Lonchura striata: one gene and its partner. The protein of the gene in region 2 binds, or shares a complex with, the protein of the main gene of each other region. Links are inferred from orthologs where the notes say so. Each region holds a gene or a part of one and is shown on either strand. Other genes may lie near its edges. The genes, in order: F2RL1 and guanine nucleotide-binding protein G(q) subunit alpha.

Region 1 (15,170 bases), about 11 Mb from region 2:
AAACTGACACGTGCAGAAAGCACTGACCAAATCACAGCTCACATTGTATTTGCTGTTCACTTCAGCAGTAAAGCACCACCTGCCTTTTATTGACTATGGCTTAGATTAAAGCAAGTTTACCATTTTAACTTTGTGTAGGTTTCATGAGACTCTTCTGAGGAAGACTGTTCTTCCTTTCACAAAACTTCTCAGCCTATCCCTGCTTCTCCACATACATTTTTCTTCTCTGTGGATTTGCTGGAGATTTATTTAAATGCTGCACAGTATGTTTTAGTTCTGGCAAGCAGATAAAGGGGTCTTGAGAGGGAAAGACAAAAAAGCATCACCAAGTCATTACTCATAAATCACCACTTTTTCCCTTGATTTGTGAATTTCTTTTCCACAGGCATCCCCTACAGATGAGTCAGAAGGAGTCAAAAATACTGAGAACTGTGATGTGAGGAGTAGTAAGAGGGGCAGCAGAACAACACTCAAAAATATACTTCCAGTAAAATGAGAAATATTAAATGGCTGGTGGAAGTAGATGCATGAGGTACCGCTCTTTGAAGGTCACCAGGTTCAATGTCACTCTCTTCATGCTCTTTATCTCAGACTCAAAAGGCAATTATTCCCAGCATTCACCAAACATTGTGGTTTGCGATTGGCATTTTACCCACACCTGTGGTCTAGCTCTTCAAAGTAGGTACAAATCCCATGGGGCTCCTCAGAGGTCTACTGCTACTCTGAAATCTAGTTGGTGGTGGTTTTCCTCGGTGCTCCACCTGGTGCTTCTCCCTCTGGGCTCCTAGTCTTTACTTTGATTAGGAAAACTGATGTCATCTGTGTGGTGGGGAAGCAAGAATACAGGGGGGCTGAACAAGTTTCTCTCCCAAATGGTAAAGATAGATTCCGCCTTGTTGCCTGACTCACAATTGCTCAGTAATGATCTGAAATGTTCCTAGCCAGAATCAGATTATCAGATTAGACAGGATCTTGAAAGCATTTTTTTTTTTTTTAACAGAAGTGCATGTCTGTGAAACCACCAAGGGTGAATCACAAGGTAGAACATGACACCAAATCTTACTGTATTCAGATTCTAAACAAAAAGTAAGACCACTGAGGTCAGTACAATAAAGGACTGGGATTTGATTCAGCTAGAAACATTGCTGTAGAGTCACTAATGATTGTGCTGGAGGCATTACTTCTGTGCTCAAGGCATCACCTAATTCTCCTGTCAAGATGAACTAGACATACCTACATCATTCTTGTTTGTCTAAACTTTAAAAGTGCCAATGATGGATGTCCTACAGATTCTCTAGAAAATGTGCACTCAGGAAAACTGGTGCTGATTGTTAAAACATTTTTCCTAATATCTAGCTCTGCCAAAACTTTAGTCGACTCAGTGAACATTGAAAATATACTGCAGCCCTGGACATATTTTAGGTATGTCATCAAGTCTCTCCAAATCTTCTTTAGACTAAACAAAGTGTTTAGAACACAAACGTTCTTCAGGTTTTCCAGTTATTTACAACATCTCTGGACTTTAGGTTTTCTTTAGGGAAGATTTTGATGGAGTAAAGAATATCCAACAAATAATACATTGGTGCTCAATGGAACAGCAAACAAACTACATAGAAATATGTTACATACAACAACTTCTTTGATGCACAACATTGTGGGAACACAGTATGTTTGTGATTCACTATGTAATGATTCATATTACCTGAAGAGGCATTGTTATTTTATACACTCCACCCTGTATTCCTTCCAGCATAGAGGTACAAACAAGACAAGAATTGTAATAAACCCATACTGAAAATAAATTTCAATTCCCTTCAAGACAATTTTACAAACTCAGCCTAAACTAGTGGCTGTACTGCTGAGTTTTGAGCAATCTGCACATCCTTTTCTCTGTATTCTATCTATACAGAGAGAGTTCTTGCCCAGTTTTCAATAGCAGCAGGATCAGAACTAGCTAAATAGTGGTGTTTCAAGTGTATATATACATATAAGTAGAGGTGCAAGTACAAGATCTGTGGTTTCATGAGCACATTCCATGAAGTGAACCATAGAAAGACTGAGTATGAGGTCATAACTAAATCCCTTTCAAAAATCATATGCACAATAATGATGAATTAAAATTGAACAGAATGCCAAATGAGAGCATCTCCTAACTTTCAATTGCTTGATTTTAATACCTTAACATGCTTTTTTCATGTAGCTGCAAGGACACTTGAAGATAGATGTACCTCATGCTAAACAACTGTCAACAGCAGTACAGAAGCCCTGCTTTACATTCTGCTGAGACCAAACTGTTTCACTAAATTCAACACACAAGTCTTCTATCACTGCAAGTTATGGTGAACAGGAGCCACCTCTTTACTTCTCTGTCAGCATGAAGCCTGGTTTGGGCCATCTATGTTTCTACCCCTCAGGCACTGAGAATACCTAACATTTTAATCTACAACTTTAACCACATTTCTTTGTTATACCTCCAGCCCCAACCCTGGATCTTGCTTTTGAAGAAAGTGAAAATACACACAGAATTAAAAGCCAAAGACAGAAACAAACACAGGATGCTGCTGGCAGAAGGTCAGGAAAGGCAAATCAGGATGATACCCAGTAACCATTAAGAGATCACCTAAAATAGCCAATACTACCTAGATGTTCTGCCAACACAGTAACCCCAAAAATGCCATAAATTACTAAGCCAACTACACTGGCACCTCACATAGTAACAACATAATAACATATCAGCACAATAGACTTATATTGTGCTTATATATTTTTTACATGGTCAGAATTTCAAAAAATCTGCAAGAATCTTGGGGTAGATGGGGTAAGTGAGGGAATGGAACAGACTTCTTAAACACAGAATGAAATAAAATGGACTCTTGCTCACAGAGAAATGGAAAATATACAGCTGCTGCCCATAATTTCTTGTTCCCTAGGCTCCTTGCTGGACACACATAGAGCAAGGGCATTAGTGACAACCCTCATGTAGTACCTAACAGGTCTGCCAGCAAGGCCAACCAAGCAGGAAATAGAGACCTGTTCAAAGGCTCAGGAAAATAATCAAGAGAGACCACTTAAAATGGCACAGAGGGTTTTAAGAATGAGATACAGAAGGAGGAACTGTAAAAAACTACTTGATGTTGAAATGAGTCATCAAAAATGCTTATTATATCCACAGTCCTGGTCTTCCATTACTAAAGCAGAGTCTTACTGTAACTTAGTACCCAGGTACTCATCTAAGTTTCCAAGAAGACAGGTGGCTAGCCTGAGGGCAGGCTAAAGCACTGAGAGGTAATACATCAGCTCTTTTGAATCAAAATCACATTAGTTTTTAAAATTAAATTCTTCACATTGTTTCATTTGACCCAAACTTTACCCTCCCTCTGAGAATACTTGCACTGGCCAGATTCCTTGAAGGATATTTTAAGTGTTGTGCCAACCCTACAAGACGTATTGATATTTAAAGTTAGGGTATTTTTATTCCTTTTCCCTTCCTAAACCAAGTCCTTTTTTCCCCTTAAAAAAAGAAAAAAAAATCCATATATTTGTGTCAGATACAAGCAACTATCCCTTACCTTCTCCCGCAACAGACATGCCATATAATTAAAATAAGCCACACACTAAAAGCATATTTGCCATCTGAATTCAGAAATTCCCATGGAGCAAAAAAGTACACACACAAACTCTACATAATAAAAATGCTCCCACATGTTTATTCTAGTACACACTTCATGAGTACTGACAAGTGCCTTGCAATGAAACCACGTTCATTGCTCAATTACTAAAGGGGTAATAATTATCTTTGACAGTAACGTATCTTCATGGTTACATGACATTGCCATGATGTTAAAATTTTCAAGGCCCAAGGAGTATATCAGAGAAGGTCCCCTTTGGAGCCCCTGTGCTAGACTGTGTTAAAAACATACTCACCAGCTACTCAAAGTGGAAGGGAGGGTATATTTCCAGTAATGGCCTTTGTCCCAGGGTGCACAAGACTCTTATGACAACATCTCCAAACAAACATTGACAGAGCAGAGAATTATGAGCTGCTGTTCACTTATCTTTTGTCAGCTTTGGGTATGCTTTGATAAGCAATGATGTGCAAGGTCAAAGCTCCCTTCAAGCCACTGTATTAAAGATTATTTCCCCCAACTCATTACAATATAACATAGGAGTATATGTATTTTTTATATTTATATATACATGTATATGTATTATATATATATGTGTACACAGACACACACAGATATATATATATGTAACAGAAAAAGAAAAGTACATAGAAAACCAAGAAAATTGAGAAACCAATTTATAACAGAGAATGAAGATTTCATAAGCCTCTACAATCACATAGTTACTTTTCCTGTGGCAGTTGTATTTAGGTCAATTATTATCCAATGATAAACAAGTGTGAACAAGAAGATAGTTGCTTTGTGTTTATTATAAATTATTAATTTTCTTTCCAAACTATCAAATAGTTTGGAAAGAAAAATAGACATTGCTAGGACTGCAAATAGGTTTGACAAATCAGCTGTCTTCAATAAAGGCATGTTTTGACATGCTCTGTTGAGAAGTCCAAGTAATTTGAGCAGGAGTAAGACAATTTCTAGTTTCTATTAAATATTATTTAAGTTAGGAGAAAGAACTAATTTATAGACTATATGTGGAGAATCTTTGTAACAAATATTATGCCTTCAAAAGTGTAAACTGGGAATTCTAATTTTTCAATTGAGCAGAACAAAATCAGAACAAAAGCCTGGTTGGCACTGCATGGTCAAAGCACCAGGAGCTGCTTACAAGTGCCAAAAACCATTAATTTGCTAGAGACTCATAGAGTAATTGGTGTTGGAAGAAATCTTTAATGACCATCTAGTACAATGCCATTCCATGGGCAGGGACACCTTTTATAAGACCAGATTGCTCAAAGCCCCATTCAACCTGGCCTTGAACTCTTCCAGAAATGTCCTGTCCACAATGTCTCTTGGCAGCCTATTCTGCTGTTCCACCACTCTTGCAGTAAGGAAACTCTCTCCTTACCTAAATCTACTTTATTTTTTGCTAAATATGTTAGCCCTTGTTCTATCACTACAGGTAAAATGTTTCTCCCCACCTTTCCCAAAAGCCCACTCTATATAAGGCTGCAATAAGGTCTCTCTTATAAGACAGGTTGATAGAATTCTCTGATATTAAAGTCATCTGGCATTCCCTCTTATAAGCTCCATTTTTAATTGTTTGAGAATCTAATGATTTTATATTAAATTATATAAAATTTCAAAGGAAATTATCTTCCCATCAATTACATGTTTCTGAACCTCTACAATAAAGTAGATGCATTACAAACCTATGCTGGTATAATTTCCTTACACTCACCTGGAGCAAAGTCCAGAGCTGCATTTCCAGAAGATGCACTTGCAGTGACACGTGCTTCTACACATAGCCACAGAGCTTCTCCAGTTGTAGCTCTGGTCTGTCATGGGACAGCCAGGACCAGATTTTACTTAGCAACAGCAATAAATACTTTTCCCATGTGTGCTTATTTCCTTCCACTATTGCTGGATCCAAGCAAAAGTGAGAAGGAGCTTTCTGCTTTGAATGTAAAGGGGACAAAACAATGGACTGGATGGAATAAATCAAGAGAGAACTAAGAATGAAAACTGTAACAGGGAACTGGCAGGAGAGCACTGGCTACATCAGAACAGGATGAAAGACTGACCACTCCTTAGTAATGGAGATCTGAGAGGAAAAACTCTGGAGACTAGTAAAGGGAGGCTAAATATAGATCCAAATGAGAAGACTACAGCTCATGGTACAAGGTGATTAAAAGCAGGATTAAATGTCTATGAAGTGGTTTATAATGGTAAACAAAATAGTACTGAAAGTGAGAAAGGGAGGGACACTGGAGGGATGGGCTATGACTTTCCCAGTGTTTAGCTAGAAGGCTGGGACTTAGATGAGAAATCTGTAAATTGTGTGGATGACAAACAGGAACTGTGCTTTAAGCATGCAGTAACTTATTACAAAGACTCAAAAACAAGAGACCCTTAATCTCAATTCTGACACCCAAAACTTCCCAGTGCCATTTACCTTCATCTCTCTGTACTCACAGACAACTGTATCTCGTGAGCATCACAGAAAGACAAAACCAAAAAAATTTATTCTCTTTCAGAACCACGTAAAACAGAGTATATTCATATAAATATAATGCTCATTCAAAAAAAGGGAAAAGAAGGCAATTTTATTATTGCTTGAACACAGAGCATTTTGCAGAATAAGGTAGAGAGATAATTTCTGTCTGCAGCTGTGAACCAGGGTTGAACACATGGTTTTAATTCTGGAATTCGGTAAGCTGTGTGCTTTATCTGATGACAATGAAAACATTCAAAATTTGTATCTGTGCAGATAAACAGAAAATACTGATGACATTACTTTGTGCTTAATTTTGTTCCTGAAATCCCTTTTTGCAAAACCAAAGGGAAGTTGGTGTATTCTAAGCTTAAGCAAAGCTGCCAAGTGAAAACGTCTTACTTAAACTTTCTTAGTGGGTCATGCCAGCAGAGTACCACAAATGCATGTAGGTTAAACAGTCATTACACATTTTTCTGCCCATCTGTCATATGACACATGTAACCCATATATGATGCATATGGGCCCAGTACTGTTTAATGTGCTCATCCATGACTTTGATGAAGGGCCTCTTCAGAGAGTCTGCTGACACCACAAGGCTGAGAGTGTCTGATACCCACAGTGCCCATGACAGACTGGACTTCATCAATGTCTTTAGTGATCTGAAGGGAGGCTGCCAGGAAGATGGACCGGGCTTTTCACAGTTGTGCCAAGCAATAGGGTAACAGGCAGAAACTGATGCACAGAACTTCTCTACTGTGAGGGTGACAGAGCACTGAACAGACTGACCAGAAAAGGTGTGAATACTTCTCCAGAAGTATTCAAAAGCTGACTGGACGGGACAAAATCCTGAGTAATGCACTCCAGAGGCCCCTACCTGGGCAGGGAGGCTAGATCAGATGACTTTCTGTGACCTCTTCCAACCTGACCTAAGACTGCACGATTCTGTGATTCTGTAATGCTATGTAACACGGAAGGGTAAACACCAGGAAAGCACAACACGGCTGTGTTGTGCTCGCACTAAACGCTGCGGGGTCCCGCCGGTGTGCCCCAGGACAACCGCACCGGGCGGTCAGGGCCGCGAGCAGCGCGGTGCCCGTGAGCAGGGCGAGGGCCGGCACCGGCGGAGCCGCTCCGCCCGCAGCGGCCGCGCGGCTGCCAGGCGCGGCCCGAGGGCGGCCGACAGCCGGCGGGCTGCGGCCGGCCCGCCATCTTGCGCCGGGGGAGCGGAGCCCGCAGCGAGCGGCTCCCACCATTTCGGGCACCGCGCCCGCCGCCCTGAGGGCAGGGCCCGGCCTGGGCCCGCCCCCGGGGCTGGCCCTGGGCCCGGCTGCGCCCCGCGCCCCGCCCCGCTCAGGTATCAGGTGAAACTGGTGGTGAGCGCGGCCGGAGCGGCGGCGGCCGGGCGCGGTGAGATGGTTGCGCGCCGTGGGTTGTGCCTGCTGCTGTGGTGTGCGCTGCTGGGAGCTGCCGCCGCTGCTGGAGGTGAGCGGAGCAGCGGGGCCGGCGGGGCAGGTGTCCGGCCCGGCTGGGGTTCGGGGAGCACGGAGTGGTCGGGGCGGGGTTCCGCGGAGCCGAAAAACTCGTGCGGGTGGCAGTGCGGCTGCCGGCACCGTGGGCAGGGCTCCGCGGCCGCGAGGGAAAGCTCTTCACGGCGAGCAGCCCCCTCAGGGCTCGTGGGACGCGTGGGGCTTGGCTTCACCCGCCTGGAACAGAATCGTGGAGCGGGCTGGCTTGGAAGGGACCGCAAAGCTCGTGTCTGATTCCACCCCTCTCCCCCTGACACGGGCAGGGAGGACCAGGTTACTTAGAGCCCTGTGTAGCCTGGCCGTGGACGCTGCCACGGACGGGGCATCCGCGGCTTCTCTGGGCAGCCAGTTCCAGCGCCTCACCGCCTTCACATAAAGAGTTTCTTCCTACTGGCTAGTCTAAATCTACTCTATTTCCATTTAAAACCATTCCATCTGGTCTTTAAACTAAGTGGCCTTGTAAAACGCCCCTCTCCAACTTTCTTGTAGTCTCCTTCCTGCCTCCCCTTGCGATAAGCATGAAAAAAAAAATTTAAAGACCATGTTCTTGATTTTTTTTTTCCCTAATCTAAAAAGCTAGGATTCTTTTTAAATTTTTAGTCTGTGCTATTGCTTGTTGAATATAAGTGAAGTTTGAGGAAAAAAACCTAAACAGTCATTCATATTAATACTTCACTGCCTGAAGTTAATTTTTCACCACATTTTATAATAAACCTCATTGCCATATCTGTGCATACCTTTTCACTGTGTCCTTGCATATTTCATTTACCAGGCTTATTTACCTAATAAAATCATACGCGTAAAGATTGTGTAAATATTGAAGCTAAGTATAGGATATACGTTGTATACGTATTGAAGCCAAACATACGTCATATTTTCTCAAGGGATCGATGCTAGGTAGCTGCAAATTATGTTCTTCAGACCAGAGTTCCTGAAATTAAGCTGCCATTTAATAGCCTAATTGTCTGGCCTGGACGGAGTGAGGAGTTTGGAATTCTCGGGGACAAGGGAGGTTACAGATCAAAAAAACAGGATAATCTTAAATTTAGTCCTGTTGGGAGTATTACTGCCATGAGTAAACTAGTTAATTTTGGCATAATCCGTGCTGCTGTCACTTTTGTGTCTGCAGGGTAGGCATAATCCTGTGTTTGGTATGTAGTGGGTTATATCTTCTGGACAAATGGCAAAGGTATTGAAACAGTCTTTTGTGGGAGGAGAGAATAAACTTTTCCCGTGGGCAGATTAGCAAGTCAACAGCATTCTCTGTATGTGAGTCAAGCAGGGTGAAACTGGTCTTGGAAAAGAGCCCGATTGTTATGGAAAACGGCAAGTGGTGAATGAGTAAGGAAAGGATGTAGAAATGCACATTCCTAACAAAGGATCGGTTGCTCCGTGAGGGAGTGTTAACTGCAGGGAAACAGGACGCTGTCTCCTTATATGTATAGGTTTCTAGTTGGACTGAAAAAAGCTGCCCAGTATATTTTGAGGCTCGAATTAAAGTCAGCATAAGAACAAGACTTGGTCTGTGAAATCACTGTGTCTTACAAAGTAGAATAAAACAAACCTTTGTCCCTGTTCTGACACTCTAGCAATACAAAGTCCTGTCTGTGGTTCAGGTATCTGTGCATGCACTTCAGTGTACCTCTTACTGTAGTGTCTCATACTAACATTTTAGGACTTTTTGATGAGGCTTTTTTTTTCTACCTAACCTCTGAACTTCAATTGCAAATCATTGTTTTATATCTGATCACAAACCTTTAGTAATAACAAAGTGGTAGTATTTATTCTTCTAGTTCTCCACAATAATTTGAGTCTTAGGAATGGAGTGAAAATAGCATGACTACTATTTGATAATATCGACCACTTTCTGATGGACAGATGCTTAACATATGGTGCATTTTATTACTGTATCCTGATCACTGCTGTCAATAGTCTATAGGATCTGCTTCCAAGCATCTCCATGATCTTTCTCAGCTAAGCTGTGAGCCTAAGAAATCAGCAGTTTTCTTGCACCTTGGTTTCCCAGTGAAGGCTGCCTGGACCTGGAGATTTTTAAGTGCTCAAGTGAATCTAAGTTAACTTAATTCAAAACTCTGAAGACTGTCAATATTTTTGTATGCATTTTCAGAAAGTTGCAGATTCTAGACAGAAATCTAATGCTGTACATCAGACTTTTGCAGTTATAAGTTGAAAAGAGCAGCTATCTAAACTGGGCTGCTTCGAGGAATCTGTACTGAGAAAAGCACACTTGTGTATTTACATATTTCTTGTGTAAGAATTCTTTAAAATTTAAGGTGGAAGCATTTTTTCATTTGGAACTGTATTAATTATATTTTAATAAAGGGATGGGCCATGCTTCAGCATTGTTCATGGCTGCTCACTGTTCAGGTACTCAAAAAGACTCTTTTTATGTTACAATTGGGAGGCTTTGGCTACATAAATCCACAAATATTGATATTAAGCTTAGAAACTATCCTCCCTAAACCAGGCAGCCACCATGTCCATACAGTTTAGCTGGATGTCTGTAGGTGAATGTCTGACTTTTCGGAATGGTGTGCATTCCAGGACATTGCTTGTGCAATTTAGCCTGTTAGCAGAGGAGGACTGTGTTGTGAGTGCAGGGATCATGAACTGGGCTGTTCAAAGTCTGTCCTACAGGACTCGAGTTAGGAGCACCTGCCTCACCCATATGGTTTGTAAGCTCCCACAGTATTTGTAGAGGCAGAGCAAGGCTTGTAGTATGGAGCAGCCTTAGCTGTCGGCTCTACCACCTGATACTTCGAGTAGAAACCACAGAGAGCAACTCTCCTGAAGGATGTCTCAGATGAGGACTGTATTGCCACTTCATGCACAGAGTTAGTCTGTTCAAATTTCTGTTCAGATACACCGTAACATGTGGCATGCCCTGGAGATTATTTGTGCATGGCTTTAGACATGGCATCTCACTTTCAGTTTTGGCTTTACTGAATGTTCTCTTTTTACTTGTATGTTCTCTTTTTACTTGTATGTTCTCTTTTTACTACATACCTGATTTTTGGGCCATCTAAACTGGCAAAGCTTCTACTGCAATTAAATTAGCCTGCTGTGAAGTTCTCTGTGACCCAGCACTCAGATCTGGCACTGCTGTGTGAAAATGGTGCCCTGGGGTGTAGTTGAAGCAGTTTCTACTGTAACTGTTCAGGTGGTAGGAGCACCCAACAGCCCATTTTTAAAATGCACTTTTAACAAGGCATTTTTAATATCTCTGGTGACATGGAGAAGTGTTTTTGTTTCTGGTAGAATCCTTGATTTCTTGAAGGGATAAAGGCTGTCTTTTGGATAATAAATTTAAAAGAAAGGGAAGATAAATCAAGTGTTTGAACATCAGTCTTAATCTTCTGGTTGATCAGGCTCTCTGTAAATGTTCAGAGGAAATTGCTGTATCTAGTTTATTTTTTAAAAGGGCAAAAAGTCTGTACTTCAACAACAGTAACAACTTTTTTTTTTTTTTTTTTTAGAGAATGATGGCTCCAGCAAACCAAAAGGAAGAAGTTTCATTGGCTATAAGGCTCAAAATGCAAATAATTCTGAAGAGTTATACGAGGTGGATGAATTTGTAGCAGAAGTCCTCACAGGAAAGCTGACTACAGTTTTCATTCCCATTGTTTATATCTTTGTCTTTATAATTGGTTTGCCAAGCAATGCCATGGCCCTCTGGGTCTTTTTTTTCCGAACAAAGAAGAAACATCCGGCTGTGATTTATATGGTTAACTTGGCACTGGCAGACCTTCTTTTTGTTGTCTGGTTCCCACTGAAGATTTCATACCATCTAAATGGCAATAACTGGCTATTTGGTGAAGGTCTCTGCAAAGTATTTGTTGCGTTTTTCTATGGAAACATGTATTGTTCCATCCTCTTCATGACATGTCTCAGTGTACAACGGTATTGGGTAGTAGTGAACCCCATAGTGCATTCAAAAAAAAAATCAGAAATTGCTTTGGGCATCTCCATTGCTATCTGGATACTGATTGTGTTGGGCACCATACCATTGTATCTTGTTAATCAGACAGCATATATTTCAAATCTTAACATCACAACCTGCCATGATGTGTTACCTGAAAATGTTTCAGCCCATGATATGTTCAGTTATTTCCTCTCACTTGCAATTGGACTCTTCTTAATCCCAGCTATCATCACTGCTGTTGCATACATTCTAATGATTAAGACCCTGAGTGCTTCCATCATAGATGTAAGCACTGGGAAGAAACGAAAAAGAGCAGTCAAACTCATTATTGTTGTCCTGTCCATGTATCTCATCTGTTTTACACCTAGCAATGTGCTGATTATTGTGCACTATTCACTCCTCAAAGCCTACAGCCAGAGCCATCTGTATGTGTGGTACATAACTGCACTGTGTCTTTCCATTTTGAATAGTTGTGTTGATCCATTCATCTATTATTATATTTCAAAAGACTTCAGAGACAACCTTAAATATGCTCTTCTTTGCCAAAGTGTGCGAACTACACAGAGGATGCAAGTGTCTCTCTCATCAAGCAGGTACCCCAAGAAATCGAGTTCTTATTCTTCAAACTCAAGTAGGACCAATAAATCAACCTACTGAGTTAAATCTTAGAAAAATGAACTTTTGTTATTACTGATGGAAGGATGTGAGTGACAATAGACTTATTTTGTACAAGAGATTCTGAAGAAACACCTCTGCATTTTAATTACATTGAAGTCTGGAATTTGGAACTGACATTTGCTCTGTGTAGAAATGATAAGCAAATAAATATTCCTGAGAAACTGGGGGGAAAAAAAGAAGACATTTCAGATGCTGTGCAAAAATGCTGCTGACCTAGAAGTGAGGCTGAAGACATTCTTGTTGAATATAAAAGTTGCTAAAAAGAAAAATGTCTCTGGAATCTTATGCAGTATTGTTAGCATTTTTAATTACCATAAAAATCTGTTTTTTTTAACTGCAACTGTAATGTTTTAAGCATCTGAACAGATTGTGTGTATAGGACCTTGCTCTGTCTACCTGCTTTCACTGAACATCATTTGAAGCTGTAGAGAGACGTAGAGGAGAATCCATTTCGCCATCTTGGATTAGACTGCTTATTCTCTTTGACATAATATATGTAATGTTTTCCAAGTTACTGTGCTGTAAATACTAACATAGCAAAAACCTATAATGTTATCCTGTTCAAGTTAACAAGCTGATCTTATCAGCTAGCGCTGGGATAAAAAAATTGAGATTATCCACTGTTACTTAACATTTGCCAGTACATGATCTCATATGGGGATATACAACAAAGTGTTGATGGATAGCTATTTGATTTTATAAAATGTGCCTTGTATTTTTTAAGACAACTAAATAAGATTTTTTTATATAACACATTTGAGTTGAGTGCTTTCTTTTGTTCTTTTATATGCACTTCAAAAGTAGTTCAACTTGACTTCAAGTTCAGCTTGCCTGACTTCACTTAACAAAGATGATACTCCTTACAGTTAATTATGAGCATGACAATTGTAGCTGTAATGTCTAAATAGTAGAGCAAAATTTACATAATGACACATTTGTTTGGAGACCAATGAAAGTAGGGTGTTTTATGATCGTATTTCAGAGGACCAAGCTAAAATAGCAATATATGTTAACATGTGTCTCATTAAGGAGTGGAGAGTTTACTCCACTGAGTTTTCTCTTCCTGTTTCTTGACAAATGCAGGAAAATAATTATATATTTATTACTGAACTGAAGGTGTTAGCACCCTTACTGGGAAATGAATGTACATAAGAGGCCACAGTTCACTGGAAGAATTTGAAATTGAGAGAGTTATACTGTCTTCACAAAAGGCTGTCTGAACTCGTTCTGTAGCCTGTTCCCTTTATCTTGCTAAGCAGTATGCTTCCTGCTCTATATGCAGTAGTGAGTAATATGAAGAAAGGGCATCCAGTTCATGTATTTACAGACTTACCTGTGTTCTGTCATGAGTACAAAGGTTGTATGTTGTAAAGATGATAAATTGTCAGCGTGTGTCTATAATACCACAAAGAGACTGCTCATGATTCACAGATGACTGCTAAATGTCTAAAATATTACATGCTTAATATAGCCTGTCTTTTGGGGAAACAAGATTTATTTCTTATCATTATTTAATCAGAAGTGCACTAAGCACTGTTTGTATATTTATAGTCTTTTCATTGTTTTTTTTCCTGTCAAATAATTAGACAATTCTGTTGAAGGTTATGTGAAGGAAATTGCTGATTTTTTGACCATTTCTCCCTTCTAGCCTTCACCTGCATGCAGGTTGGCAAAGCAGGGTGCAATGAAGGATCTTTCTTACCTGTGGCAACAGTGGAGGTCTGCCAGTGGCACAATTAAGAATACATGGTACTGCAGTATGTTGAAAGCTACTTGAGAAAGAAATTCTAGTAAATAGAATGATTTCTTTTTAAAATGGGTCTCTATGATGTGTGCCAGATTTTGGAGAATACTATTCAAAGAGCTTACAGTCATGTAAGTGAAGCTTTCCCTTTATGTAGCCATATTGCAAATCCTTATCCTGAATTTAGCATGATTTAGTTTGCTTCAATTAACAAAGCAGTTAAACTAGGCTGGTTGTTCATTCAATTTGATTCAGTTCTTTGAATTGGCAATTATGTGCCTGTGCAGCCAGGTAATAGCAGAGTAAGAGCATATAGCCTAGGAGGGTGGAGGTGGTTGCTTAAATCTTTTTTGGGGGGGAGTGGAGAAGGGGAGGCTGTACTCTTGGGCAGGGTTGGTTGGTATAAAGGTGATTGTCTTCAGCTTACAATAAATGCATTCCTGAGCAGTGCCAGCTTTGCAATTCAAACACTAAGACAACCAAAAACTCTTCTTACCTATTAGTGATTAAAGTTTAGGTGCTAAAAAATAATCAGTGCAACATTCATGAAAGCATCAGGGAGTTGAAAATCAGTGTATTTTATGTGCACCATGTCAATATTTCACAAGCTCAAGCTTATGCCACACCTGAGAAATAGATTAGCCTTTCCCAGCTATGTGATCATGGTGTTTCCTCATACTGTCACAAGCAAGTGTGACCTTGGGGTGGACTGGATCAGTTCTGGGTTAAAGTTAAACTAGGAGGAAAGTTTACTTTTGGCTTGGAACAGTATCTAGTTGTTTTGCTAGATGAGCTCTTTGTTCAGAACAAGAGAGAGGCTCAGACTGTCTCACCATCAACATGCTTTCACTGTGCAACTGCAAGGCAAGTCAGAGCACAGTAGCTGCCTAATCTCCCAGGCAGCAGGGAGCAAACCTCCACCAATGTCTGTAGGAATGGCTCTGCTCTCTCTGGCTAAGGGTACATCCAGCTCTGCCAGAGTAATCTTCTCACCTGTTCCTGTGGAGGTCAACAAGACAGCAAGGCATCAAGGGACATGTCAAAAAAAACCAGCAGGATTGCTGCACAAGGCACCTGGCCAACATACTAGATGCACAGAAGATGTGACCAGCACCATTTGTATACTGTACTTTGGAGTATAGTTGAAATGTGCTCTGAA
Region 2 (15,322 bases):
AACAAATACTTCTTCAACAGATTTTTGACAGCTGAGACTGAGTACCAAAGTACTTCAACAAGGACCACAATGGCTATCTCCTAGATACAAAACAGAAGACACAGATATCAGTGGGAACAAGGCCTTGGGTAGAAATCTCATCCATGTACTCTAAGGTAAACAGACTCAGACTCTGCCACTAGTCAAAACTACCTAGTCTCATTCATTCCTATCAGATGCTTCTTCCACACACAGATCAATCTAAATTACAAATAGCAAAGCTCCCAGATGAAGTTGTCAATACACAGCTCAGCTGCGCTGAGGCAATAGTGATATAGTCTTTATCTTTTCAATTTACTGAATCACTAGTTGCTTCCACTTTCATCAACTTACTAATGTTCTGTTGCTTATTCAAGCAATACACGTATGCACACCATCTGCTTTCCACAGAAAGATGAGCTGAACCAACACAGTGGGGCTCACCTAAATCATGTAGTCCATTACAGTAGTTTGTCAGATGATTCTGCCTGAATGGATTGACAAAGGAGGAGTCTTGCTTGGTAAGGTTTATTTTTGTCCCTGGAATAGCCACACCACCTTCTCAAGTGCAGAATGAAATGAACAACAGTACTTTTCTGTTGGCAATTGCATCTGCATCAGGGTTCTGGGATAAAACTCTGCACTACTGATAAAACAATAAGAAGAATGTTCAAATTAGGTAGTTTAATTATTCCCTGCCATTTGTCCTTTGAAAACTTAAAAGGACAAAAATCTGTAGAAAATCATGCTTCAGCTTAGCCTCAGTATCAGCACTACTTATTCAGGGAACAATGTGGTTTCAGGACACTTCAGATTTTAAACTTTAGTTTAGCCTGAAAAAACATTTGTGCTGTTCCTGGAACTCTCCAGGAACAGGAGACTTTCCAAACTTTTAACTTCTAAAACATTGGTATCTCTTGGACTTCTTTATCCAGTTTTAACATATCTAACTTCTTTGCACAGAGTTAATAATATTTAAAACCTGTGGCATGCTTCCTTCTTTTTGGCCAACATCATGTGTATGACTTCCTAGTGTTGCCTATATGCTAATTCTTCCTTTGTTTTCTTCTGCTTTCCTTCTCTTTGTTCTTGCCAGGTTTGATAATTACAGTAAATAAAAGGTGAATACTGAAAAACTTCCATAATTTCATCAGTAACAGCTGTTCATACATAGCTACATTTGTCTACAAGACTAGATTTTCTTCAGTCCTCTACCATTCAACTGAAGGAAAAGATATTGTGCTTGTAGCACTCTATTCCTGCAACAAAGCTGATCACCATTAATTTGACCTCTACCTTACTTTATTTCACACCTCTGTGATTTGTTTTTCAGAGATTGCAAGGCAGTGCTTTCCCCTATGAATTTGCTGTTACCATACAACAACACAATTAATTTGAAACAACTAAAGGAGGAGAATTAGTATTTCTTCATTTTGCAGTACACACTTAAATGCCCATACTCCAAAGATTTCTCTGCTCAGCATATATTTTTTCATCCTACAACAATTTTTTCATTCAACATTGTTTGCCAGTGTAACATAAAAATTAGGGGCCACTTGGCTCTTTGAAATGTAAATAAAACTAAATTAGTCTGAATTCTTTAACTGTTCAGATCATCTGCTAGTTCCTATTAACTTTGGTGGGTGTAGATCACTTATTGAGTAGTAAATACAAAAGAGCAACAAACCCTTTTTAATGGCTGCATACAAGGTATCTTTTTGTGGTGCACCAAAAAGGAATGATCTTAAATATTTTCTAAATATATGTTCTTCACATTATCACACTGATATCCAAATGATGATTTGTGTTTTCCTCCTCAACAAAAAAAAATGCTCTTATATATGGACATATCTGTGTATATGAGAATACATCAAGGTACTGAACCTTCAGAATGAAATTTTATTTCCTTAGAAACAGCTTCTGCTAAATAAGAGATATTTGCCTATCTAGCTACAATATGTATTAAGAGGTAAGTAAATTATTTATAAACATCTACTGTGTCAATTACCTAAATTATTTGAAAGAGTTCAGCGTGAGTAGGACAGACTGATAAAAATACAAGCTACAAGAAAAATAAGAAAGCTTGTTTCTCCAGCTGAAGAAGTTACATGAAACAAGAGTCTGCCACTGTTGGCTTAAGGGACCCATTTACTCTTCAAAGTATCTACACAAAGCCCACCTCTGTGAACACACCAAGTTCCGCATGTTCAACATCTAATTCGGCTAACACAGCTTTAAGAAATAATACATATTACTATGTCCAAAAGCATCTTTTGGCATAAGATTGACTGCTGTTCACGCCAATTCAAATGGCTTATCATCCATCTAGTTTCTGTGCTACAGCACAGAGAATAGAAGGACACTTGTATCAAGGCAAGTCTCTTCACTGACACATTCACTATCTTAAGTACCTAAGAAGTACCTAAGTCTTAAAAAAATGCTTTGCACATGACACAATACCAACCAATATGCTGCAAAAAAAAAAAAAAAAATAGCACTGTCACACATATCTCCAGTACCTAATCTGCCAGAGTTTACAGACACATAGGCATAGCTAGCACAACACCTGCAGATTATTTTCTTAGATACTCAAGGCATTTCCCAAAGAGAAAATAGTGTACAATATTAATGTATACAGTCTACAGGCAGACTATGTCCAGGACTGATGGTTTATGACTACAACCTGTCTGTCATGCAGGTTCAAATGCTGCTTTCTGAGTCCCTGGAAAAGCTACATGGATGGCAGGAAAAAATTACACATGGAAGCATGACAAAAAATACATATGCAAGTATATAGCTCTTACTACTTTAAAATAAATATGTATATAAATGTATAAAATAAAAGCATGCAGAACACATTGGCATAGGCCAAAATAAAACATTAGTACACCTCTTCATTTTCTCCCTTAATTATAAAAACAATGTGTTTTTACAGCTAAGAGTAAACAACGGATATTAACAACTCTAAGCTCTGGAGAACAATCACGGTTTTACAAAGTGTTCATCAATAATGACATCCAGAAGAGTTAAAGTACAGATTAAAACTAAATTCAGTGGAAGACTGAATTAGTTCCAAAGTGTCTCAAAAGACTACAGACAAGTTGTGCTAGCTGAAACTACTACTATGCAATATGCTTCAGTGCGCATTCCAATTGCAATTGGAAAAATTATTTTGTCCTGTTCTAATATGTTTTAAAAAATCAAATAATGATGTACAAAAAAGTACCTAAAAGCATTATTTTAATGTTTAATCAGTGTTTATTTTTAAACTAATACCTAAAAATAATCTTAGCACACAGTGAAAGTTTTGCACAAATTACCTCCGACTTTGAACTCTTTGATTTCATGAAAAGTAAAAAGATACCATGAGCACATTAAACAGTGTGCGTGTTTTTGTGTATGTGTGCAGGCATCTGTGTGTGACACAGTAGCAGTTCAGAGAAACCTGTTTCCAAGAAGGTACTATGTCTTTCACAAGTTAAGGAGGGAAAAAAATCCTTTTCCTCTGAAGCAAAAGATTAATTTTTTCGTTATGTTTGCTACCCGTATGCATTTTTATGTGTGTATATCTAATTTTTAAGCAAGCGTAATAATAAAACAACCTAACATAGATATGCTTGTTTGTGCCTTTAAAGGTTAATAATACCTTTCACTTTGCACTTGCAACTAGTCTGAAGAACATGCATAGCCACTTAACGAGGCTCAGCTTACACTACACTAATATTCTTTAAAAGTCAAAGGATATTCCTTAGTCCTGTATTTAAAAATCTTAACACGCTTAGGTTTTTCAGACCTATAACACTTGAGAGAGTGGGACTGCAAAATTGGCACTTCCAGAAAAGAAAAAAAAAAAAAAAGAAAAAAAACCAAAGATGTTCACTTATGTTTACATTAAAAAAACCAGCACAAGTGATTTTCTCCCCAAAGCTGAGGGGGAAAGAGATGAAATGGGACAGTAAACATTTATTTAATATTAAAAAAATCAGATTATTTTAAATCAGATCGTTTTCCTGCTACCAGCCTCACTATTTTTGATGAATATTTCATTCGAAAATGGTTTCCTCTGTCTCATAACCATGTAAATGACCCATACAAACAACTTAGCATTCGTTTTACAAATAACTGAGCATTTACTTATGCTAGGGAAACAATGAAAGTGGCTAAAAAAAAAGTGTTCTAAGGTACTTAAGATAAATCCACTTATGAAAGAAGTTCCCATAAATTTCTTTTAGAAATTGAAACTTAAGTCTACAAAATACCAAGACACCAAGAGTCTTTCACTACACACTGCATTTCTCAAGACAAGATCATTATGTTAATCCAAATGTGCGCATACTATTTCTTTCAGTCAAATATATGACAGAGGCTGAGAAAACATTAGTCAGAAAAAATGCATGCACAGTAACAATTTCTGTACTGGTTTTATTAACCAGGTGTATGGATGTGCTCTTAAATACATGCAGCCAAAAGTTCACACCTCCAGATCTCTACATCATGCCTCCACTTTCACAAGCCTGCTGGAAGTCTTAGCTGGCATTGATGAACTCAAGAGTTTTTCCTAATCTTTTCTATGGGTTGGTTTCTCTCCTGTTCTTCTTCAAATCACCACACATTATCTGGTCCAAAGTGATGCCATAACTGGACTCCAGTCTACCACCATCTACCTCAATACTTCATGTTAGTGGTGGGAGGACCTTGCAAAGCAGCTCAAGTTCCGTGTTCCTAACTGCAGAATCTCTTCTCTAGGAAAAATTTCTTCTCTAGGTAATATATATTGGTCTCATTCAGTGAATTTCATACATTTCTGAAAATCTGGGAGAAGCTTCTAGCACTACTGTAAGAGATACCGAGAACATACAGAAAAAATCTGGACCTGAATAACATGTCAAATGTATGAACTGCCTCTCCCGAAGCAAGTGTCTATCATTAATCATACTTAGACATCCATAATATTAAGCAAGGGCAGTCTATTTTATCTTCTTTGTGCATCTCAGAGATCACACTGCCATAAACCAAAATCAGTCAAAAATCCAAAAGAACATTATTATTGTTGAGTGCTGCATCCATGTCACTACTTCTCTCCCAGATCCGTTAGAGATCCCAACCTTGTCTACAAGGAAATAACCTTCAAGAAATAGCATATTCATATGGAAGCACTAAAACGAATTCAAACTTTTCCTTCCAACTTGCCTTACCTTATTGAATAGGCACTTTACTTCCTCAGTATAAACCACTACTTCCATATACATGGCCCAAGAAAAACATCTTCCCTGTAAACATCCCACATCCATTTGGAACATACTCACTCATTCACACATCAGAGAGTAGCACAAAAATACATAAAGGCCTGAGTCCAGGCAGGAACTATTACCACGGAGCTACGCGACACAGTGCATCAGACTGGACACAGTCAAGCAGATTTTAATTCGAAAGCCTTATTTTAACATAAGCCAAATTTCTATTAGATAAATGCCACCTCTGCATATTTCTAAAATATTCTGCAACTCTAAAATAGCAACCTCTGCTTTAATTAAGGAGAAACGATACAGTTGATTTTATTCCCTGACCAGTGGGTGGATGCCAAGGGTATTAAAGATCCTGTAATCATCCAGCACACTTCAGGTTACCCCTCAGCTTGCCATGTGCATCTGGGCCTTTGCGGCTCCCTTCCCTTTGTAGAAACCGGTATGCAAGCTGACCCCAAGCCCCTTATCCAACTTTACCTCAATAAATAAAAATCACAATGAGAAATGCAACCGGTGAGCTAACAACCTTGCCGAAGCCCACGGAACAATGCAGATATCACACCCGCCACCATCGACCTGCACAGCGACTCCCCCTGGGAATCCTTTCCTTAATCCGCTTCGCTACCATCGCTCTCCCACACACATCGACATTTGCCCCTCTCCCCGCAGCCCGCTCACTCACCCGCCATCCATTCCCTCTCCATTTTGGAAGGCCGCTTCCCGTTTCACACCGAACGCCCCCGCCGGCGATGCCCGCAGGCGGGCACACACGCCCCGTTCCCCGCGGCGGAGCTCGGCCTGCGGCTCCCCGCGGCGGGGGCGCCGAGCGCCCGCGGCAGCGCCGAGCGCCCGCGGCAGCGCCGAGCGCCCGCGGCAGCGCAGGCACTGCCGCCGCCCGTGCCCGCCGCCGGATACCTGCGCCGGCACGGACCGCGCCGGCGGCGATGCCCGGGCAGCGGCCGGCGGCACCTGGGGCGTGCGCGGTCCGAGGCGAGCGGCCCGAGGCGAGCGGCTCCAGGCGGGAGGAGGAAGCCCCGCACTCACCCAGCAGCAGCAGCTTCAGCTCGCGGCGGGCGTCCCGCTTGTCCCGACGCAGCTGCCTCTCGATCTCGTCGTTGATCCGCCGGGCTTCCTTGGCTTCCTCGCTCAGGCAGCACGCCATGATGGACTCCAGAGTCATTCTTCCTAACTGGTTCAGACACAGCCCCCACCCCCCCTAAACCCGCACGCACACTCGCACACACGCACCCCGCCGCCGCTCCGGCCCCGGGGGGCACAGGCGCTCTCCGAGAGCCCGGGGGCCGCCGCAGGGCAGGCGCGCAGGCAGAGCAGCCTCGATGCCACAGAAGGGCAAGAAGAAAGGCAGGGCCGCTGGCGGCGCGGATCCCCGCTCCCTGCCGCTGACACCCGCCGCTGCCAACTCCTCCTCTCCTCTAAATCATGCACCGAACAACATGGAAACATCCACCGCGGCGGCAGCAGCAGCGCTACCCAGGCGAGCCGTCCCTCGTCCCGCTGCTTCCCTTCCCTCGCCGCCGCCCGCAGCCTGCGCGGTCCCCGAGTGTCCCTGGCGGCCGCCGACACCCCCGCCGCCCTCCGACGCGACCACCCCACCCCCGTGGAAGCGTTAATGCCCACTAATCCCTCCCCCGCCCCGCACACGCACACATCTCTCCGCCGCTCCCCGCCCCCAGAGCGGGAGCCCGGCTCCTGCGGGGTGGCGAGATCGCCGCTACCCGGCAGGAAGAGCTTTCCCGCGGCCGCTCCTCCTTCCCGCCGCCTCGGCCGCTCGCCCTTCCAAGAAGGAGGCGGGCGTGGTGGTGGTGAGGGAAAGCGGAGCTCGCTGTCGGAGAGCTGCCGCTGTTCGGCTCCGCTCGGTTCGGCCCTGCTCGCGTTGCCGACAGAGCAACGGAAAGGGAAACGAGTGCACTAGCAGGGGTCGAGCCCGACCGGCTTTTAAATGGTCGGGCTCCGCGGGCGTGGTGCGGCAGGAATATGGCGGCGCGGCTCCCGCCGCCGCTCCCGCTCTCTCTCCGCCCCGCCGCGCGGCGGGGGCGAGCGGCCGGGGCGGCCGATCCCCGCCCGCGCTGTGCCGCCCCCAGGGCCGCGCCGCCCGCCCTGCGGCGGCCGAGGGCGGAGGAGGAGTGCGGGAAGAGACCGAACGGATTCCCACTCCAAATGGCTGCGAGGAGCTGTGCCTGCTCCGGCTTGTCCTGACGGGCAGCGCTTTCCCTAACGCCTTGTTTGCTTTCGCTTCCTTTGTTTTTAGACGTGGGCACACATTTTTATTCGGTTCCCATCCTAGAAGAGATGAATTGGGTTGGCAGGGTCTGGCGGAAAATGTGGCCGGCTGAAAGGAAGGAAGGAGTAAGGAGCCGAAAATGCCTTTTCCACCTTTGGCCGGAATGGGAAGGCAGAGCGGGATACGCGCACACCGTCAGGCACCCGGAAGGTTTAGCGCCCTGACTTCTTGCTGGGAAGGCAAAGCCGTGCGTTCGGCACGAACGCGCTGGGACACCCCACGGAACGCCACCGGCGTGGCCGATACTCGGCTGCGGTGAGTTCTATTCGCTCCTCGCCCCGGCCCCTGCCTTAGGCCCGATTTCTGGAAAGCATCCCCGTGTAGCTTTCGGTAGCTCTCGGGGTGATGGCATACAATCGAGCAGAATGCACTCATACACCTTCTAGTTTTTGTGAATTCATAAACTCCTCACAGAATTCCCACACCTGCACTTCCTTTGGCCACCTCCATTTTAAACTACTTGTATCTAGGAATGTTGCCAAATCGGTTGTGAATCTGGTACCTAGCCTAGATAGTGGGTAGAAAGGCACATCACTCTTTTAGCTCCATATCTGAAACCTCACCAGCACCTGCTGACATCTGTTTCGAAATTTATATGCGCTTTCCTAAAAGCTTCCATATGTACTGATAAAATTATTTAAGTAAGGTCTGCTATAAAGAGCAAGACAATGAGGGAATTAAAAATAAACATATAAAGATAATAAAAACAACCAGGAAAATAATACAACCAATTTTTTAGAGCATAAAAAATTACTTATTAAAAATTGCATGATTTTCATGTAGATCTATATTGTACTGGTATGAATAGTGTGTAAAAATGATTTATACAACTTGGAATCTTTTTACTTCATTCCAGTCAATGACTTTTAGTCAAAATTGGGTAGATTAAGCTACTAAGAATAGACTATATTTCACTCAAAGCATATTCTCTCTTTTAAAACCTGTAGGTATAGAAGTGTATCTATGTATTCACCTGTATTGTGTACTGGTCCCAGATGTATTAATATTACATGCAATTTAGATTTCTAAAGTGCCAGCAGTGAATTACAGAGACAACGAGTAACAGAAAAAGAGGGGGAGGTTACTTCAAGGAAACAATTATCAGGGTTTTTGAGATATCAGGGTTTTTTCTTCTAAATGCCAGAGTCCAAAAGAGTGAAGGTGAGTATGGTAAAGCTCACAAGAAATTCTTGTTGGATATTTTGTACATTGTGCCCAAATCCACAGCAATCATCTCCAGGAATCACATCTTGAAAAAATATTAGGAACAGGTCAATGAGTTTTCAATCTTTAGGTAAACTGAATCAATATCTTCTCCAAAACTGAGGGCACACTGTTCTAATAAAAACTGTAATTGTCTACAGTAGAAGAAGTTGGACTAAACTTTCTTACCTGTTTTATATGCTCAGTATAAAAGGCATGAACACAGTGTATACCTCAAATGTAGAACTGCATTTAATTTTGCATTTTTAATAAGACAAGACATGCCACAGACCATAACTGTAATCTGCATGTACCACTTTTATTGATATAACTGGATTTCAAATATTTACAGAATAAATATCTTCATATTTTTAATGGATGAGCCATCTAGTCCTGAATATGGCATCAACAGATAGTCATTATACACTGTTTTACTCATTTGCTTCATGACTTAGTGAAAGTCAGAAGAACCCCATTATGGATAATTACATGATAATAAACCTATGAGGAGATTTCTTTCCAGACCTCAATTCCATAATGATTGGCTTTTGTTTTGAAATGTGAAACATCCTTTATAAATATTTTATCCTAATAACAACTATCAGTAAATAACAGAAATCTTTATTGCGTATGCAGGTAATTATTATCCATAGATACTATCCATGCTGTTATCTAATCCTGGACAGATACTTCCTGATAAGCCTCCCGTAGCACTAATCTCATATTCCTCTATCCAAGTAGTCTCTAGTGCATGGCTCATAGCAACCCATTGCTTGTGAGATGTTTTGATGTTGCTTACTGCCACAGGAAATTAAAAGTGAGACTGTCAGAGGGAGAAAAGATATACTTGCATCCTTGGTATTCTTACTCATAAAACAGTAAAGATTTGGAAACTACCACTATGTTTAATCATGTCCATAGCATTCTTTGCACTAAGCTATCTTAGTTTTCAATTTCTTCCTTCCATATGCCTAAAGATATTTATTGTCTCTTTTTTCCGTCTTTTCTGCCTAAGAAAGGTTTTCTGTGATGTTTTGACAGGTTCCAAATGGTATCTGAACTTGGTACTCACATGACAGTATACTAGAAGATTGTGTATAGCAACATCATAGGATTTTCATAATTTGTGAGTGCTTTTTCGTTGCCATTGTTCATTAAGAAGATATTTGCACAGTGCTATGCAGAAGTACATCCCAGTCTTGTTTGTGAATGTTTCTAGTAAATTTAGAGGCTGTCAGTATGTCTGAGTTGAGCAAATTACCCTTCCAGTATGCCCTCCTAATCAGGTTTTTCTTTGCTGGTTTTGTTTGGGTTGGAGTTTTTTGTTGTTGTTGCTGTTGTTGTTTTTGTGTGTTTTTTTTGTTTGGTTGAGTTTCTGGGAGGTTTTTTTGGGTTTTTTTTTTTTTGTTTGGTTGGTTTTGGGGTTTTTTAAAGGGGGAAAAACCCAAATAAAATGTATCTGCTGTTTTCTGCTGTTAAATGAATAACATCCAGCAATTTCCTTCAGCAGATATCCATTTGTTCCAGTGTGTTTTGACAAATTATCTTCTGAATGTTTCTCAGTGTTCCTTATTTCAAAGCAAAAAGTGTCTGCCAAGGTGCTAAGGTACAGACCAATGACTAGGGAAGAGTTAACCCGCTGTTTTCTCATCTGATTTTTCTGGAATTTTGGAAACTTCTTCCCTTCTGTGTGTTTGTATGTCAGGGTTCTTATGGAAGACCTGTATCTGAAAAAGCTTTTTTTATTTTTTGAAACACTTTTGTTCTTCAGACGCATCTCTTAACATTCTTTTGCCCCGGCACTAGAAGAGGGGTGTTGTGCAGAGAAGCGCGTGTGGCAGTCCCCGAGCGCAGCGCGGTGCAGGACGCGCACCCCGGCTGAGTGCGCTGCACCAGGAGCCAGCATCCTGCCCACACCACTCCTCGCCTGCCTGCACGGCCGCTGCCTGCTCCAGCAGGACAGGCTAGCAGCCGCATGATTTGGCACCTTAACTGTGGGCAGAACTGAATCCTGGTGTATTGTGTTGGGTGGGAATTTTTTTGGTTGTTAGGGTTTGTTGGTTGCTTTCTTGCTTGCTTGACTGGGTATTTTCCCAGAGTTTGCTGTTTAAGGATTTGTATTGTCTTTCACAAAGTCTCAGCTGATTCTTCAATCCTGTTTGTGGAAAACGTCTAGTAGGCACAGTGTGATCCAGACCACCACTTCTGTGGGAATAAGCTGCTGTATCACCTGCATGAGCCAGTTGTTTCTCTATTGTTCTGCACAAGTCTGCTGGAACAGGATCATAAATTTCAACCCTGAAAAAAAAACAAAAACCCAAAACAAAGCAAAAAATCTCACCACGCTTGACCTAGCCACATGACACAAATTACATTAATAAATTGGTAGAGTATGAGCTGATACTACAGTAATATGGCCACTCACTGAAAAGGAATACTTAAGTCTTCAGTATCGGCACCAGCTGTTTCTCTGATTATTTTTATTAGTTATATAGGTTAAAATCTCCCAAAAGTTTCAGCAAAACCTGTGATTAAGTGTTCAGGCTAGGATATACTATGGGGGATACTAGTCTTCCCCCTCTGTGACATGAATTATAAATTAATATTTTGTCATCGTAGAAATACTATTGTTTCTATCAAAATACCTTTTATGTGTATTTATTATGTTCATCACATTCAAGCACATTTTTCTTTCAGTTTATAGAATATTTGACAAGGTGGCTTTTATTCTTCATGGATTTCTTATTTTTGTGCAAGTCCAAAGTAAGTTATTCATACATATAATCACACCAATTTATTAACCTAGAGAGACTTTGTATAATGTCTAGTTCATTTGCCATCAGTAGGACTTCTTATGCTCTGCTAGGTTAATGGTATTGTATGTTTAGATTATTTATCTAAAACTTCAAACATTCTATTCTAGCTTTTATTCTTACCTTACAGTCTATTCTTGGATATGTGCTTCCTAATTCTGATTTCATATAAGTTTCATAGCATAGTAACTCCATCATTTTCAATGGAATTGCACTGTTTTTCAGTATCATACACAGTAGTGTCAGATCATGAGCTTCCTTTAAGATATTTAGCATAAGCATTGTAATTGTGTGACTCCTCCAGTTTTTTCAGTGGCTATTTCAGAAACAGTCTAACCATTAGAAAGCATAAACTGATCAGCCCTCATTCCCATTTTAGTTCTCACTGTCACAGGACAGAGGCAAGAGGTACACATCACCCAGACAGAGGTAATTCTTTTGGTATTTCATGGAAAAGTATTATTTGTAAATCTTTCCATCATCCAAAGATTGCATTAGCAGAGGTTATTTTCTTGCAATCCAAAGTATGTCACTAGAAGGACCACAGACAGCTATCTCATTGCCCATAATTTTAAAATGGAAGACTAATCCAAAATCAAAGCATTCTTCAATGCTTTCTACAATCTTGCACCAAAGTTTAGTATGTAAAGTGAAAAACTTTTTCTAGTGAAGATGAACAGAAAATAAATATCCATTTGCATGTAATAGTAGTTCATAAAACTATTTTTTCAATATGCAATTTATATACAAATTAAATGCAAGAATTTAGAAGGTTTAGGAATGAATTCTGTACTTTATATGTGCTTCATGTCTTGTATTAATAGGAGCATCAATGTATTTTGCACATTACTACTAAATCTTCTAATAGAAATCATAAGTAAATGTGTGAGGGATAAGTGACATAAAGTTATGACCTAGTCAGTTGTGTTTTCAGATGAGCAAATAAATTATTTTTATTGATATATATAATTTTAAAACATTATAGCAGAAGCTCATCATGAGACTGTTTCAAGTATTTATGGTTTTAAAGTGAATGCAGAGAAGGATCTTAAGACAGCAGGTGATCAGTGTTTTCCTCTGAGTGGAAGTACAGTAATAAGGGAAGTATCTTTCTTTCTCTATATGAAAATCTATTAGAAAAAATGGTCCTCATTAAGTCTTATGCAAAGCCATCACAAATACTGACTAAAGTAGTATTTCCACAGAAGTATTTAAAGTAGTGGAGAAAATTGAGTTGGAAGATAGCAAAATAATTGGCTTCCATTTAATACTTTAGGAAATATCGAGCAGGAATCAAGGCACTCAAGTTACGTACTGAAGTAAAAATGTGGGTTGAGTTGTAAGCCTCATTTTATAACTATAATTACAGTTGCATAACTTTAGTTATACCTATAACCTCAGTTTATATAACTATAACCCCAGATAGCCAGATAGTATGTTTCTTCAATAAGTATGGGATGATATATAAACTTGAATTTGGGCAGAAATAGGAAAAACTCTTATGCCTGAGATGCACAGCTAATAGTAGCAGTGCAGTGATTGCTGTTATTAGTCAAACTACCCCGCAGTTAACATGGCATTTAGATTGTACTCTTAAGGAAGATTGGTGAATCTATTATAATATTTAAGGGAATTACGGAAATTCATTAGTAGGGAAAAGGATAGCATTTTTTTCGTTTGTCCTAAGAGACAGAGAAAAGAGACTTTTCAACACTTAGAAAATTCTGATTTGGGCATATATAGAGAATTGGATAGCGTGCTAAGATTGTTTAAATATACAGATTTGGGTAAAATCCATGTATTATCCTGGTATGGGTATAATTGCGTGGCGGGCTGTAAGTGTACCATATTTCTATGGAACTGCTTCCTAATCTGATTGTATTTTGAATTGTGGATTTGCATTGCCTTACAGGGAACCTAAATAAAAATCCTCTCTAATTTTGGTTTTGTTTTGATTGTTATATATTAAGAAGATTGAAAGAAGCAAAAGTGGTTTTTTTTTTTTTAACTCCAAAATAAAGAGTGTTTAACAGAACTGAAACTTTGAAGAGACTAGGAAATTTTAAGAAGAACCAGTGGTTAAATTTTAGTTTGGATACTGAGAGAAACAGCTGCATTTTGAATTATATTGGATAGCCAAACCTCTTTTATTTATGAGGGGAAACTTGTCATTAATACCTGCTTCTGCTAAAAAATCAGTTGTAAGTCTGAGATTTACAGGGAAGAAAAAAAGCTTTGAGCTCCCCCTACTGTTGTTTCTATCCAAAAGGATGGAAAACCTGAATTTTGTTTTGATGGATAAAATATCAGTCAGATAGAAGAGAAATTAAACAATACAGAAGTACCACTTTAAGTTTCTGGTAATGTGCTATTAACAGTTGAGAGAACCAGGATGTTTAAGGTGTTTTTTAAGTTGTTAGTTCTCTCAAAGATTTTGGCATTCATAGCATAATGTACATGAGAATATATACCTTCACATACAATAGTTTTCCAAGTTTTCTATGTGAAGATATGATTTAGTGTTTGAGTATGCATACACTTAATCTTGCTCTCTTCACATGAAATTGGTGGATCATAAAACTTACTAAATATTGGCATATTCATATTTACTTTTCCAGATAGCTTTCAAAAAGCTGATATTTATTCAGGTAAGTGATTTAGGAACTCCCACTGAAATTTACAATAAATTGCTACTTGTAAATCTAGTTTTTTAGTCCCTTTACATTATTACTATTGCAAGTTACAAAGAGTACTTTAAGAATTAAAATTCTGAGCTATGTACTGATTGACATTACAAATACTTTTCACCAAAAGTGTTTAATCTCATAATGTCCAGATTTGTGTATATAATATAGTTTCTGAGTTCATCATCAGTGCTCATGATCAAAGCACTTTTTATCTGTTTATTAGTATTTCTTTGTTAAATAAGATTTTTTTTTTCCAGAAAAAAAGTCTTTGCACAAAGGCTGAGCTTTTTTTGGAGTTCTGTGCTTTCATTATTTTAATAACTGAAAAACATTAATGTGCTAATTATTTCAAGTCTTGTTACACCCATTCTCATAAAGAGTCTCTGCTAGTCTCTTTACAGGTGACATTAAGGTGGTAGTATTGTAGCAAAAAAAAAAAAGTCAAAATTCTCTCTAATGTATCATACATTTATTGGTACTTTTCCTTGAATTTCCCTATGGAGTTCAAAATTCTTCTAATGAAATAATCTTTTTTTTTTACCATTATGATTTCCAAAAAGCAGTTAAGCAAACCTCTATTTCTTTGGCCTGGTAACACCAAATACCATCTGTTCCACATGGAGGTGTGGGGTGAAGTGAAAGTGAGCTGGCGCAGGGGTCTTTCTAGATTTCAGCGAGAAAGACCCAACAACAATTGGCTTAATCTGGGTAATTCAAAAAGACAGATGAAGAAGAGGGGTACAGATAGTAGCATCTTATGTTTCCTCAGGTGATGGGCACTCCATGCAGCATTGAACAGTGCCCCAATGGATTTTCCCATGGCACACTGCACAGAGCACATCCTGCCAGGGGAAAGAAACTCATCCTTTCAATCATTTGAGGTCATCTTTAACTTCCTTACAAGAAAACAGGTTTTTTGAGGGCAAGTCCATGGAGGATATATCATGGCAGTGCTGAGCAGGGGCTACCCATATTAATTGCAGTGTACAGCTGTCTCCCAGTCAGGACCAATGCATTCCATCCCTTGATCCCTATACATTTTAGCTTTCCCAA

The links.
Region 1: the proteins of guanine nucleotide-binding protein G(q) subunit alpha (region 2) and F2RL1 are in contact, whole or in part, in a cryo-EM structure (PDB 9D0A), measured with the Homo sapiens proteins. The link is inferred for Lonchura striata from reciprocal best matches to the Homo sapiens genes GNAQ and F2RL1. Residues at the interface, in NP_002063.2 of Homo sapiens: Arg37, Ile323, Tyr325, Asp346, Ile348, Leu349, Gln350, Asn352, Leu353, Glu355, Tyr356, Asn357, Leu358, Val359; in NP_005233.4 of Homo sapiens: His108, Pro109, Ala110, Met114, Gln172, Arg173, Val176, Ile177, Pro180, Met181, Gly182, His183, Ser184, Arg185, Met265, Met268, Leu269, Met274, Asp275, Asn277, Lys280, Lys281, Arg284, Ala285, Leu288, Ile289, Tyr344, Tyr345, Val347, Ser348.

What each region holds. Positions count from the first base shown.
Region 1 is NC_134642.1:13,370,917-13,386,086, reverse strand, and holds F2RL1 (proteinase-activated receptor 2), read left to right. Parts: upstream 1-7,493; 5' UTR 7,494-7,532; coding exon 7,533-7,602; intron 7,603-11,143; coding exon 11,144-12,246; 3' UTR 12,247-13,022; downstream 13,023-15,170. UniProt on the Homo sapiens protein: Receptor for trypsin and trypsin-like enzymes coupled to G proteins.
Region 2 is NC_134642.1:24,299,108-24,314,429, forward strand, and holds the start of guanine nucleotide-binding protein G(q) subunit alpha, read right to left. Parts: upstream 6,860-15,322; 5' UTR 6,445-6,859; coding exon 6,309-6,444; intron 1-6,308.